Linked DNA regions of Pelodiscus sinensis. The protein of the gene in region 2 purifies or fractionates together with the protein of the main gene of each other region. This does not show direct contact. Links are inferred from orthologs where the notes say so. Each region holds a gene or a part of one and is shown on either strand. Other genes may lie near its edges.

Region 1 (7,475 bases), on a different chromosome or scaffold from region 2:
TCAGAATGCTCTCACTAAACCACAGGACCTAGCACCTTGTACCAAGAATAATTACCAGCATGCTGAATAGATCGTATCTTTGCTGGGCGCCAAGCACTGGACCAAAGACCAAGGTTAGATTTTGTCAATGACATCTTTATTTGCCATTGTCCTAAATCCATCAGACGGTATTCAAGTCAGGGTAATGACGAGCTACCAAAAAACTAACTACTGTGGCAAAGCTCCGGCTGTGCCCTGAGGGTCTTGCATTTCTAGCCAGTTGTTGAAGCAAAATACAGGACTATGTAGCACTTTAAAGACTAACAAGATGGTTTATTAGATGATGAGCTTTCGTGGGCCAGACCCACTTCCTCACATCAAATAGTGGAAGAAAATAGTCACAACCATATATACCAAAGGATACAATTTAAAAAAATGAACACATATGAAAAGGACAAATCACATTTCAGAACAGAAGGGGGATGTGGGGGGGGGGAGGTAAATGTCTGTGAGCTAATGATATTAGAGGTGATAATTGGGAAAGCTATCTTTGTAATGGGTAAGATAATTAGATTGTTTGTTGAGACCGAGGCGTAAAGTGTTGAATTTTAGCATGAATGACAGTTCAGAGGATTCCCTTTCAAGTGCAAGTATATGTGGTTGTGACTATTTTCTTCCACTATTTGATCTGAGGAAGTGGGTCTGGCCCACGAAAGCTAATAAACCACCTTGTTAGTCTTTAAAGTGCTACACAGTCCTGTATTTTGCTTCAGCTACAACAGACTTACACGGCTACATTTCTATCACTAGCCAGTTGTTGTTTGCCTCACAGGCTCGCTGTGACCCTGCACACTAGAGGGCCTTTTCTAGAGGCCAGGGTCACAGCTTACTTGAGCCATCCTGATCATTGGCAAAGTTACAGGATTGGGATGAAACCCCTCCATAATCCAGGCATCCCTTTCAAGGAACAGACCCTTTTAGTGGTGTGGGGAGGGTTCAGGGGAACTCAGGTCCACCCGCTACTCTGGATTCTGGCCCAGGGACCCTAGGTAGTGGCTACTGTCAGGGCTTTAGTCTCTAGCCCTAATACAGCAGCCTTTTCCCTGGGCCAAGTCCCCAAATGCTCCCCTAGTTCCTTCTCCCTGGTACTGAGCTAATCTTTCCTGCTTCAGCCCAAATACTCTCCTTTTTGCTAGGAATGTTAGCATATAGTTGTTTAAAGATTAACTGATAAACCTGGGCTTATCGGTTAATTCAAACAGCTGCACACACACACCCCAAAGGGGGGCTGGCAGAAGCCAGTGCCTGCAGGGAGCCTCCACCCCCACTGCCTCCCACAGAGACAGCAACGCAGGGAGCAGGTGGGAGCTGGAGCTCAGGAATAGTCATCTTAATAATAAACCTTCCCATCCCTAATCTATAGAGGTGCTGGCTCTGGCTAGCTGCCCAAGTATGCACTCAAGGACTCAGGTAGGACTGTACAAACTCAAAGCTAGCCGCTACTTGTGCTGCAATCACACCACCTGACTGCTGTAGAGAATAAAGGAGAACACGCATGAAGCTATGTTGTAGCCGATGCTTCACAGCAGCCTGTGCGCCTTGTCTCCAGACTTTTCAGCCATGCTAATCAGAACATTTTAGTGAATGTGCTCGGACATCAGACCTTTTACCCTAGTCTAGGCAAGGCCAGAAGAAACCCAGCAGAGAACCCTGCTGCTGCCGCCTTCCCCAATCAGGCAAGAGCTCTCTCTCCTAGCCCCAAAGCACTTGTCAACAGAGGGACCCAAGCCCAAAGAGAATTCCCCCACACAACCAGACACCTTTCCCTGTGGAATCTCAGCCAGAGACCCCCCCCTCACTTCCCCTAGAGATCTTCCCTTCCGTCACCCAGCCACAGTCCCCTGAGATGGCTCCCTATCTACCTCAAGGCCCACAAAAGCTCATGATCCTAGATATCTAGGGTACCTTGTCTCTAAGGCTGTGTCTAGACTGGCATGATTTTGCAGAAATACTTTTAACGGAAAAGTTTTTCCGTTAAAAGTATTTCCGCAAAAGCGCGTCTAGATTGGCAAGTGCCTTTGCGCAAAAGATTTGCTTTTGCACAAAAGCATCCGTGGCCAGTCTAGACGCGATTTTGCGCAAGAAAGCCCCGATCGCCATTTTAGCCCTTGGGGCTTTTTTGCACAAAACAGTTCTTCCCTGTCTACGCTGGCCCTCTTGCGCAAGTATTCTTGCGCAAGAGGGCTTTTTCCCAAGCAGGAGCGTAAAAGTATTTGCGCAAGAAGCCCTGATTTTGTACATTACAAAGTCAGTGCTCTTGTGCAAATTCAAGCGGCCAGTCAAGATGCACCCTAAGGGTATGACTGGAATACGTTGTTTTTTCAAAAAAACTGCACCTGTGGCCACACTACAATCGTGTTCTTTCAAAATTAAATCAAAAGAACGCAGGGGTTTTTCGATATTGGTAAACCTCAAATTATGAGGAAGAATGCCTTTTTAGAAAGAGCTCTTTTGAAAAAAGGCATGTGTGGACGCAGAACAGGGACATTTTTCGATAGAGGTAGCAATTGAAAAAAACACAGGCGCCCTGGTGGCCATTCAGGGAATAGCAAACAAGGCTTTCTTCTGAGAGAGTGTCCATGCAGTCTGGATACTCTTTTGAAAAAGATCACTGTTTCCATCTGGTTTTGAGGTCTGGATGCTCTTTCCAAAGAAGCTTGCAGTCTAGATGTACCCTCTGGTACGACAAGACTGGTGGTTGTTTTTTAAGTAATGCCACGAGCAGTTAACTGCTTTTGCTACTTCCACTCTAGCTCATCTGAGGAAGTGGGTCCAGAAAGCTCATGACCCTAGACCCGTGGTCGCCAACTGGTCGATCGCGATCTACTGGTCGATCGCGAGGCGTCCTGTCCGCCCTGCCCTCATTTCCCTCCCACCCCCGAGATGCCCCACTACCTACCTCAAGTGAAAATGGAGGTAGTGTCGGCTTCCCGGGGATGGACAGAAGTCCCGCAGCTTAGCGCCACTTCCGGTGAGTCCAGAAGTGCACTAGCTGCTCTGCCGGGTGCACTGCGGGAGGGAGCATCGGCTCCCTGCACCGCACAGGAGGGGTGAGTCAGCCCCGGGGGAGGCGCGCCGGGAGTTTCTCAGCGCGCGCGGGGGGAGGGGGTGTTGGCCCCGGGGCAGGTGTGTGCATGAGGGGCTTCCCTGCACGGGGGGGCTTGGCCCCAGGGCAGGCGCGCGCGTGCGTGGAGCTTCCCTGTGCGGGGGTGAGGGTGTCGGCCCCGGGGCAGGCGTGCGCGGGGCTTCTCTACGCCGTGGGGGGTCGGCCCGGGGCAGGCACGCGCTGGTTTTCCTGGCGGGCGGGGAGGGTAGGAATCCTGGGAGGAGGCAGATGCAGAGGATTCTCTGCCTCCACTGGCACCCCACTCCCCAGCCACAGAACGCCATCCCCACTCCCGTCCCCACTCCCCGAACGCTGTCCCCACTCTCCTGTCCCCAGCCACAGAACTCTGTCCCTATTCCCGTCCCCACTCCCTGAACTCTGCCCCCACTGGCACTCTGTCCCCTGCTGCAGAACCCTGTCCTCTGCCCTCCCAGCACCCTGTTCCCTCTCCCCTGCCCCCAGCCACAGAACTCTGTCCCCACAAAATGTGTAATTTTAAATTCTTGATTTTAGACGTAAATAGCATGAATAAAAAACAGACCATTTATTTCATAACTATAAACACGTGATTTTAATTGTTTGTATCGCATAATTTAAAAATAAACTTTATCAGAGTGTGTAAGGGCTGGGGATAGCAAGTGATGGACAGGAGGAGACGAGAGAGGGCGGGGCTTCAAGGAAGGGGCGGGGCGGTGGATCTTGGCTTGGTCTGTCATTTAAAAAGTGATCTCGGGTGCAAAAAGGTCGGAGAGCCCTGCCCTAGGCAGTGGTTGGTCTCTAGGGGCTGCCTGCCCCGTGTTTGTAAAGTTACAGATTAACAGGGCTGCCCCCTGAGCCTCCTTTCCAGAGCCCCCCCCAGAGCCCCCCCCACCATGTCCCCCCCACCCAGAGCCCCCCTCCAACCATGTCCCCCCACCCAGAGCCCCCCCACCATGTCCCCCCCAACCATGCCCCCCCCACCCATGTCCCCCCCACCATGTCCCCCCCACCCAGAGCCCCCCTCCAACCATGTCCCCCCACCCAGAGCCCCTCTTCCCCCGTGTCCCCCCCACCCAGAGCCCCCCTCCAACCATGTCCCCCCCACCCAGAGCCCCCCCCACCCAGAGCCCCCCTTCCCCCAAGTCCTCCCTTCCCCATGCCCCCCCGAGCCCCCTCCCCCTCTTTTCCCCCCAGACTCCTGCCCCGACGCCCCACTCCCAGCCCCCCCCTCGGTCGCTCCCTCCCTCCCTCCCTCGAGCGCGCGAGCCCAGCCGCGGCCCCGCGCTGCCTCCTCGCGCGCTCACGCGGATCCGCCCGCGCGCTGCCCCGCCCTCCCTCGCGCCGGGGGGGCGGGGCCTGTCCGTCCGCCGCTATCCCGGCGTGCCCCGCGCTCCGGCCGACTGGCGGGGACGCTCTCGGCTGGGGCTGACTCAGCCCGCGGGAGGCGCCTGTTCCGCGGGGCAAGATGGCGGCGGAGGCGGATTCCTGGGGTAGGTGCTGGCCGCGCTCGCGGCCCCGGCCCCCCCCCCCCCGTATCCCCCCGCCCACCCGGCCTGACGCGCGCTCTCTCTCTCTCCCCCACAGACGCGGACACCTTCGAGGCGGCGGAGCCGGTGGCCAAGCGGCTGGTGCCGACGCCGGGGGCCGCGGGCGACCGCTGGGCCGGGGAGGATGAGGAGGACGATGTGAAGGTGGGGCCCGGGGCCGCGTGTGCGGAATAAACGTACCGCGTGCGCCGAGGGGCACCACCGGCGGGGCGGGCCGAGCGCTCCCGGGCACGCGGGCTGCCCCGGCGGGGGGGGGGGGCTGCGAGCGCCCCCGCCCACCCGCGAGTCTCCATCTTAACGAGGCGGTGGGAGTCTCCTCCCGCTGAGCGACACTCGCCGGCGAGCTCGTGGCCTGGGCGCGGGCCCGGCGGGGGGGGGGCCGGTTCCGCGTCACCTGAAGCCTTTTAAAACGCTCTAGTCCGATCCGCAGTGGCGCCTGAGCTGGGACTTACTCGAGTTCAGTCGGTGCCATGTCACGTGCTCTGAACCCCGCCTGCATGGGCACTGCCTGGCCAGCGCTAGAAAGGTCCAGTGAGCCGGGACTAGACACGTCTCCGAATGGGCCGCTTCCCCCGGCCGAGAACTGCGCTTGCTCTTAGGTTTCTCAGTTCAATGACTATGGTTACCCGCCTGTAACTTCCTTCCCACTGGCCCGTCTGTCTCCTTTCCAGAGCAAAGCCCCTGTCCGTTAAAAGATGTCTACAATCCCAGTAAATAGAGCACTCTGTGTGTGTTGCCCATTTACCACATTTAAGTTGCTGGCAGGCCTCTCTACTAAACTTCCCTGGGATCTGCCGGCATTCAACTTTTGGACTCTCCTCTGGAGATTGTCTGTATCACCTGCCCCCTTACAGGTTCTTACCTGATGCAGCAACTGGGGAAGAGGTGTGCACTGAGGGAAGTTTGAGTGGTTGAACTTTTTCCAAATAGCCCCGTCTTGGCATTCCTTATCTCCCACAGGGCAGAAACGTGTCTTTACTTTAGTGGTGTCTCTTGTAAACCTAGGCAGTCCTTCATTGTTTCTTTTAGTATTAGCTAGTGCTCAGAGGGTTAAAATGGTACCAATCTATTAGGTGTGTCTACACTTGCACCCTCTTTTGAGCGAGGGATGCAAATGTAGACATTCAAAATTATAAATGAAGCCAGGATTTAAGTATTCGCGGATTGGTGCTATTTCGAAATAAAAAACTCTGTTTAGATGTGGTTATTTCAGGAGAAAACCCTTCTCTCAAAATAACCCTTACTCCTCAAAAAATGAGTAAGGGTTATTTTGAGGGAAGGGTTTTCTGTCGAAATAAACTCCCTCCCCTTTTTCTCCCTGCAAAATAGCACTATTGCGAAATAGAGCCATAGTGCGATTATGCAAATGAAGCATGGGATATTTAAATCCTTACTGCAGTTGCAATTTTGGGTGTCTACATTTGCATTCCTCTCCCGAGAGAGAGGAATAAAGTGTAGACATACCCTTAGAGAATCATGGAGCTGGTTTGCTGTCTTTCACGTTCGAGTTTGAACTAAATGTTCAACTTTAAACCTAGTCTGTTTAACAGAAGCATGTTGATTGCCTAAATGCTATGCAGCATAATTCCCTTAACAAGAAAGACAAGTTGTGAGGGATACCCCAAAAATTCTAGGTCTTAGACCTTGGGCATATATCAGCAACTGGCAATGACTACTGTACTAGGAAAGTTAAATATCAGTTAATCAAATAGTTGAGTAATCTCAAAAATTCTTATCGGTTAGTCCACTATTCTGTAGTCCTTGGGGGCAGGACCGGCAGCCAGTGTGCTCCAGCCCCACTCCTGAAGAGCCCCCTGTCACTTCGCGTTGCTACCTGTATCAGAGGCAGCAGCACAGGGTGCCAGGCAGGAGCTGATCCACGAGGGGAGGCAGTTTAAAAACCAGCTCATCTCGCAGACAGCTGTTGCCCTCTGCTGCTACCTTTGATAAAGAAGCAGCAGGATAGGATGGCAGCAGCCCCTGTCTGAGGGGGGTCTGAGCTCCTGGACCTGAACCAGGCTGCCTTCCTGCCTGCCTGGCTCCTAATACACTTTAAATGCAGAGCCGCAGCAGGGGTAGGTCCCAGACCCATTTCAAGCCAGAACAGCCAGCCTGCTGGCCAGCCTGCAAAAACATTTACTGGCAAGTCGGGGGGCAAGGGGTGCGGTGCGTTTAGTCTTCAGCAGTGTGTCCCAATTTTATTTGGCCATGGAACCCTTTTAAACTCAGAAGAATTTCAAGGAACCCCTTCAGCTGGGGGGAAGATTTGTCAAGGGGGGGGGCCCACCAGGAAAAATGTGTCGAGCACAAAATAAAAGGCGGGCGGGGGCAGAATGGACCAGGGAGACTTGCAGGCTTTGGGAACCCAGAGTGGCAGCGGGGGAGAGGAGGTGTCTGAAAGCCGGCGGGAAACCAGAGAAGCATCCAGCATCTTTGTGTGCCGATACCTCTCTGTCTCTTTGGGGGGGGGGAGGGAGAGAAGTAATGAAGTTCTCGCGGAACCCTTACTTTTGCTTCCCAGAACCCCAGGGTTCCGCGGAAACACTGGTCTATAGCATTAACCTATAAGCTTTTGCTAATTGGTTAATTGACGACACTATTACATCCCTATTCTATAAGGTGCCACAGGACTCCTCGCCGCTTATCCCTATTCCATACAACTATATCTAACAGACATCAGAATGACGAGAGGGTATATACTATCTCTGGAATCTAAGATCTTCAAAGGGGTCTTTGGTTTTGTAAAAATATTTTTAAAATGGGTAAAGGTAGTGTTCTAAAGTTAGACATTGAATCATGTTTTT
Region 2 (7,618 bases):
TTAAAAAGTAAATTAAGCTTAGTTTGAGTGCTTTGCTTAATAATCTGCTTTGTTCTGTTTGCTACCTCTCTAACCACTTAAAATTCACCTTTCATAGTTAAACTTATTTCTTATTTTTAATATAACCCAGATTGTGGAATTCATAATGGTGGGGGGGAGGGGGACTGTACATATTTTCCTCCGCATTGAGGGAGGAGGTGGATTTCATAATATATCTTTGGGTCTGTACTGAATGCTGAGGCAAGTTCCTTAAGATGAGTCTTCCTAGAGCTGATCTGCAGAATGACAGACACTGAGTTGGGTGTGGCCCTGCCTGTCTGTATCCTGGAGGAGGATTAATATCCTGGTTCAGCAAGATAGGTGGAAAAGATGTCCAGATTGCCACTGCTGGCAGGCTCAGTGGTATCTCAGCACATCAGGTAGCAACCTGTGCGGAGCTCTTGGACACAATTATTGGTATTAGTATAGAATATAAATTGCCATAGGCAAGGTAGTCTAGAATTTTAAGTAGACAGAAGGAAGGCTAGCATAAAGTCATTTCCAAAGTCTACTAACATCCAGGAAATTACATCTTTCAACCTGTTCTGTGGAGAACACTGATTCCCCTTACATTTGTATTACAATTACACCCTACAATATCATATCTCACAACACACTACAATACTCTTTTTATGTAGGCTCAAGGCTATCACTGCTTCATACAAACCTGACCTGTTAGGGTATGTCTACATGGCTGCAGCTGGCTAGGGTCAACTAGTTGAGCCATGCAAGGATCAGAATGCGGGACTGACTATTTCTGTTTAGATGCTTGGGCCGGAGTTTGGGCTCTGGGACCTCCTGTCTCTGAGGGTCCCAGGGCTTGGACTTCAGCCCAAATGTCTACACAACAATTGTATAGCCCCCAAAGCCTTCATTCCCTCTCCTCTAATTCTTCCTGTTGGAAAATCTTCAGTGCTAACTCTTGTCCCCTTAGGTGACACATGTGGGCATGTACAGTCACATTTGTCCCTTGATTTCCTGGTGGGAGTTGGGCTGAGTGCAGCTGAAAGGATTTGCCTGGAAAAGCCACCAGCAGTGAGCACTCCCACGGAGTCACACAGAGCAGAGTGGTGAGACTGGGCTGGCAGCACAGCACTGCCAGATGGGACCTAGAGAAGCCAAATCACGTTCTTTTTATGTCAAAGCAGGTGCAGTTACCTGCTTGAGTATGTGTCTAGACTAGCCTGCCAAGAACTTGGGAGTCTGTTGGGGTAATGGGGAGGAGAGGAAGTGGGGCCTGAGGGAGAGGTGGGGAATCCAGGGAGGCAACAGGGGTGGGTGGAATGCCTAGGGAGAGAGTTGATAGGGGCTGGGAGAAGCAGTAGGGGCCAGGGAGGATTGGGGAAGCAGCAGGGGCCAAGATGCTGGATAAGTCACTGGGGGCCAGCGGGCCATCTTCTCTAAAGCTGACCTGGTAATGCTAGTCTTAACGGTAGGTGACCAACATGGCTTCCATGGTCAGGAGGGTGCCTTGGTGATGGTGGGGCTGCCATTGTGCTCCCATCAATCTCAGCCTGGACCATTCTACATGACAAATCTATTTCCTGGACACCCCAGTACAAATCACCAATGGTAAAATAGACACCACTCTCTACAGAAACCCACCGACACATATAGTTACCTACATGTCTCCAGCTCCCATCCAGAACACACCATACGATCCATCATCTACAGCCAAGCCTTTCAATACAACCGCATCTGCTCTAATCCCACTGATAGAGACCAGAAACTTCAGGATCTCTACCAACCATTTATAAACCTCAACTACTCACCCAGAGAAAGAAAAAAACAAATTGAAAGAGCCAGACGAATACCCAGAAACCATCTACTTCAAGACAGACCCAAGAAAACCAACAATAGAACACCACTTGTCATCACCTACAGCCCCCAACTTAAACCCGTCCAACACATTATCAATAAACTACAACCTATACCAGAACAGGATACTAAACTCCAAGAGGCTCTGGGAGACAGACCCCCATAGTCTCCTATAGACACACCTAACCTCAAGATGATTCTTACCAACAACCACAGGACCTACCACACTAATACCAGCCCTGGAACCTTACCTTGCAACAAACCCTGTTGCCAGCTTTGTCCACATATTCATTCTGCTGATACCATTATTGTACCTAACTTATTGAGTTATAAGATCAAAAACACACATTCCTGCTCATCCAGAAATACAAATTTATTCTCTCATGTGCTAATAATGTCTGTCTGCTATGTACATTGGACAAACGTCTCAGACACTTCGCCAAAGAATCAATGGCCACAAAATAGATATTAGACAGGATCACAAAGAATAAACAGTTTATTGCCATTTCAACCAGAAAGGGCATTGTCTCAAGGACTTAACTACCTCCATCCTGCTTCAAAAACATTTTAACATTAGACTTGAAAGAGAATCCTCTGAACTGTCATTCATGCTTAAATTTGACGCTTTACACCTAGGTCTTAACAAGGACGCTAATTATCATACCCATTACAAAGATAGCTTCCCCAATTATCACCTCTAATATCATTAGCTCACAGTCATTTAACTCCCCCCTCATCCCCTTTCTGTTCTGAAATTTGATTTGTCCTTTTTATATGTGTTCATTTTTTTGATTGTATCCTTTGGTATATATAGTCCTGCCAATTTTCTTCCACTATTTGATCTGAGGAAGTGGGTCTGGCCCACAAAAGCTCATCACCTAGTAAACCATCTTGTTAGTCTTTAAAATGCTACATAGTCCTGTTTTTTGTTTCACCAACACCAGACTAACCTGGCTACATTTCTATTAATATTATTCTCAGTTACCTATGCTTGTCCCCCTCTCCTTTACCCTCAGCCCATATCCTCTTAGGAAGTCTTCAGCACCACATCCTCATTTGCCTTGAATCCTGTTGGTCGGTGGATTGCCAGCACAAGCCCTTAACCAATGATTCAGCCCTGGTCTGATCATAGAATCATATAATCATAGGACTGGAAGGGACCTCGAAAGGTCATCGAGTCCAGCCCCCCGCCCTCAGGGCAGGACCAAGCTCCGTCTACACCATCCCTGACAGATGTCTATCTAACCTGTTCTTAGATATCTCCAGAGAGGGAGATTCCACCACCTCCCTTGGCAATTTATTCCAATATTTGACCACCCTGACAGTTAGGAATTTTTTCCTAATGTCCAATCTAAACCTCCCCTGCTGCACTTTAAGCCCATTACTCCTTGTCCCGTCCTCAGAAACCAAGAGGAACAAATTTTCTCCTTCCTCCTTGTGACACCCTTTTAGATATTTGAAAACCGCTATCATGTCCCCCCTTAATCTTCTTTTTTCCAAACTAAACAAGCCCAGTTCATGAAGCCTGGCTTCATAGGTCATGTTCTCTAGACCTTTAATCATTCTTGTCGCTCTTCTCTGTACCCTTTCCAATTTCTCCACATCTTTCTTGAAATGTGGCGCCCAGAACTGGACACAGTACTCCAGCTGAGGCCTAACTAGTGCAGAGTAGAGCGGCAGAATGACTTCACGAGTTTTGCTTACAACACACCTGTTGATACAACCTAGAATCATATTTGCTTTTTTTGCAGCAGCATCACACTGTTGACTCATATTCAACTTGTGGTCCACTATGACCCCTAGATCCCTTTCCGCCATGCTCCTTCCTAGACAGTCGCTTCCCATCTTGTATGTTTGGAACTGATTGTTCCTTCCTAAGTGGAGCACTTTGCATTTCTCTTTATTAAACTTCATCCTGTTTACCTCTGACCATTTCTCTAACTTGCTAAGGTCATTTTGAATTATGTCCCTATCCTCCAAAGAAGTTGCAACCCCACCCAGTTTGGTATCATCTGCAAACTTAATAAGCGTACTCTCTATCCCAATATCTACATCATTGATGAAGATATTGAACAGTACGGGTCCCAAAACAGACCCTTGAGGAACTCCACTTGTTCTCCCTTTCCAGCAGGATTTAGCACCCTTAACAACAACTCTCTGACTACGGTTATCCAGCCAATTATGCACCCACCTTATCGTGGCCCTATCTAAGTTATATTTGCCTAGTTTATCAATAAGAATATCATGCGAGACCGTATCACCACCTGTCCTAGAGCAAAGCGATGCAACACGTGTGCGTGCTGGGACACGGGCTGCCTTCCTAGGAACAGCTCTATGTCACTTGGCGAGTGACCTTCCCCACCCCCGCACAGTCCTAGTGTGGACGCAGCTCCCGCAGTCGGAAGGCGCTCGGGCTGCTCCAGCACAGCGGCTTCCCCCAGCGCATCCCACGGGGCGGACGTGCCACAACCCGCCCTTCGGCCGCGCTCACACTAACCCGGCACCTTCAAGGCCGCCCCACGGCTTGTCTCTGCACATACGTGTAGGGGGAGGGGCAGGAGAGCCGTGACGACTGATCAGTGACGCGCGTGGGTATATTTCCCTAGCTCCTTCCCCAACACGCACCCCCATTTTCTTCTACGCACGCGCAGTGTCTCCCATCCACTTAACTGCGGCCCTTTTTGACCCTTCCCTTCGTTTCCGTCCGAACCTCGTTCAGGAGCCCACCGCAGGGTTCTTAGCCGCGCTTCCGGTGTTTCATTTTTCTCTTTCCGGCCGGCGAGCGGGTGAGAGGAAGAGTCTCTCAGCATGGCGTCTCGCAAGGAAACCACGGGGCCCGCCAGCACCGTCTCCTCGGTCGCCACTAAAGCCAGGGGCAAGGCGGCCCCGGGGGACTCGGCGGTCAAGCAGGTGCAGATCGACGGGCTGGTGAGTGAGCGGAGGGTCCCTGCGGCCGCTTGGGGGGCGAGCAGAGTTCGGGGCCGCGCGGGGGCAGCGCGGCGTGTAGCTCTGGGCACGTTCTGCGGAGAGAGTCGGTGCCCGCCCTCCCCTCCCCACTGGTATCGGCCTGGGGCAGGCAGGAGTGGCGCCCAGAGGAGCCCGCGCGGCTGGGGGAGAGGCGGTCAGCTCCGCTTGTGCGACCGCCTGTGATGGCTTGTCCGGGGATAAGGGCGGCTGGCTGACGAAACCCCTTCCCAGAGGACAAAGGCAGCTCCTGGCCACCTTCCCCCTGCGGGCTGGTGCTGGTGGTTTCCAGGATATACTAAGGATGTCAAAAAGCGTGTAACTTGTCAGTCGTGTAGTGGACACATTTTTTTGTCGACTACACAATTTATCTTTATGGGGTGGTGCTGCTACCACTCAGTCCCGATTCCTACCAAATCCGGCTCCTACCCCCGCTGTGGCTCTGCATTACAAGCACTTCCAGAATTAATAGCTGGCGCACGGTCAGGCTGGCTCAGTCTTGGCTCATGCCGGGACCCAGCAACTACCCCTGCTGCGGTTCTGCACTGTGCTGGTGTGGGGGTTGATCCTGGGTCTTGCACACGAGCCAGAACTGAGACAGTCTCTGAAAACATCCATTCAATGTGCAGCAGTAGTAAAAAAAACAAAAAACAAAAACAAAAAAAAACCCCAATAACCCAAAGGGCTAGAGAATAAGAGAACATCTTATTTCTTCTATATAAATCCACGGTACACTCATGTCTTGAATAATGTGTGCAGATGTGGCTGCCTAATCTCAAAAAAGATATGTTGGCATTGGAAAAGGTTCAGAAAAGAGCAACAAAATGATTAGGGGGTTGGAATGGGTGCCATATGAAGAGAGAGAAAAAAGACTGGGACTTTTCATGTTAGAAAAGAGGAGACTAAGAGGGGATGTGATAGAGGTCTATAAGATCATGAGTTGTGTGGAAAAAGTGACTAAGGAAGGGTTCTTTACTTTTTCCCATAACATAAGAACTAGGGGGTCACCAAATGAAAGGAATAGGTAGCAGGTTTAAAACAAAAGGAATTTTTGCTCATGCATTGTACAGTGAACCTGTGAAATTCCTTGCCAGAGGATGTTGTGAATACTAGGATTTTAAAAGGGTTAAAAAAGAACTAGATACATTCATGGTGGTTAGGACCATCAGTAGCTGTTAGCCAGGATGGGTAGGAATGGTGTCCCTAGCCTCTGTTTGTCAGAAGCTAGAAATGGATGACAGGACAGGGATCACTTGATGATTCCCTGTTCTGTTCTCTTTCTCTGGGGCATCTGGCATTGGCCACTGTTGGAAGACAGTATGCTGAGCTATATGGACCTTTGGTTTGACCCAGTATGGCTGAGTGCCTGGATCTGTCACCAGCCCCTGCTGTGACTTAGCCACTCAGCCAGCCTGGTTAAAATTTACTTGCAGGGCAGGGGGGTTGCATGTAGTTGATAACATTAACTTATAAAAACTGGTTTATCGGTTAATCATTTAGTCGACTATACTGTTACATTCTTAGGGAGTACCTGGCGTAAATTCCTTCCTAAACTGCCTTAGGAAGTATAGATCAGTACTGCTGTTTGGGGGTGCGTCGAGAGGGGTTGAAAGCTACCTGCAGAGCAATGTTCAGGGTAAAGGCACATGTCCAGGCCGCCTCTGGGACCTGTGGTATTTTGGTAATGGAGTCCAACACTACCTGCTACCAGGGTCTTCCCCCAGTTTCTTTTTTCCACCTTTTAATGTTCCAGCACAGGAAAGGTGCAAGTAAACACAGAATTGTAGTATTGGAAGGGATCTCCAGAAGTCTTCTAGTCCAGTGTTTCTCAACTTACTTTTTCAAAAAAAAAAAAAAAAAAAAGTACCCCTAGTACCTACAGTTTTCAGACATACCATTTTTTTTCTACCATTGTAACACATTTGTTTAAACAATTTAATCGTATCCAGGCGGGCAATGAAATTTTTGGGTATAAAAAGTACAAAAATAATAAAGCTCTGTAAAACTTAAAACAAAATTTCTGTTTTCTCCAAATTTCAGTTGTGTTGATGTATCCCCCAGACTTCTCTCAAATACCCTTAAGGGTACTCAATCACTGGTTGAGAAACACAGTTCTAGTCCAGTCCGCTGTACTTACGGTAGGACTGCGTTTTAACTAGGTCACTGCTGACCAGTGTTCCCTGTAAGCTAAGTGCTTGGGCTCCCACACAAGAGAAGCTCAAATGCTGCACAACTGATTAGCAGAGCACTCAAAGTCTGCAATATGTATTTCTACTGGTGGTGCATATCTGCACATGCCACGGTTCATATAATACAATTTATTTTGCTCATGGATGGAAAAAATTACAGGGAACACTGCTCCAACAGGTATTTAAGTACTTTTAGAAACCTCCAATGACAGAAACTGCAAAACCTCCCTAGGTAATTTTTCCAATGCTGAACTACACTGAGAGCTATGAATCTTTTTCCTAGTATTTTACCTAAACCTCTTTTGCTGTAATTTAAGCGTATGGTTTCTTGTTCTTTCTCCAGAGGTTAACGAGAACAATTTTTTTCTCCTTCTTGTAACAGTTATTTTATTTACTTGAAAACTATTATGTCCCATCTCAGTCTTCTCTATTCCAGACTGAACAAACCCAATTTTTTTCATTCTTTCCTCAAAGATCATGTTAAGTTTTTGTTGCTCTTCTGTGGACTTCCTCCAATTTGTTTATTTTTACATTGCTTATTGTGTCTTTCTTACAGCACTCGTGTTAACATCCCAAAATAATGATTGCTTTTTTGCAACAGCATTGAC

Evidence for each region.
Region 1: the proteins of EIF3H (region 2) and EIF3J purify together in Homo sapiens (affinity purification with mass spectrometry; 3 studies listed by BioGRID and IntAct, with this or other methods). This does not show direct contact. The link is inferred for Pelodiscus sinensis from reciprocal best matches to the Homo sapiens genes EIF3H and EIF3J.

What each region holds. Positions count from the first base shown.
Region 1 is NC_134724.1:891,456-898,930, forward strand, and holds the start of EIF3J (eukaryotic translation initiation factor 3 subunit J), read left to right. Parts: upstream 1-4,455; 5' UTR 4,456-4,589; coding exon 4,590-4,614; intron 4,615-4,708; coding exon 4,709-4,815; intron 4,816-7,475. UniProt on the Homo sapiens protein: Component of the eukaryotic translation initiation factor 3 (eIF-3) complex, which is required for several steps in the initiation of protein synthesis.
Region 2 is NC_134712.1:23,925,369-23,932,986, forward strand, and holds the start of EIF3H (eukaryotic translation initiation factor 3 subunit H), read left to right. Parts: upstream 1-4,613; 5' UTR 4,614-4,665; coding exon 4,666-4,785; intron 4,786-7,618.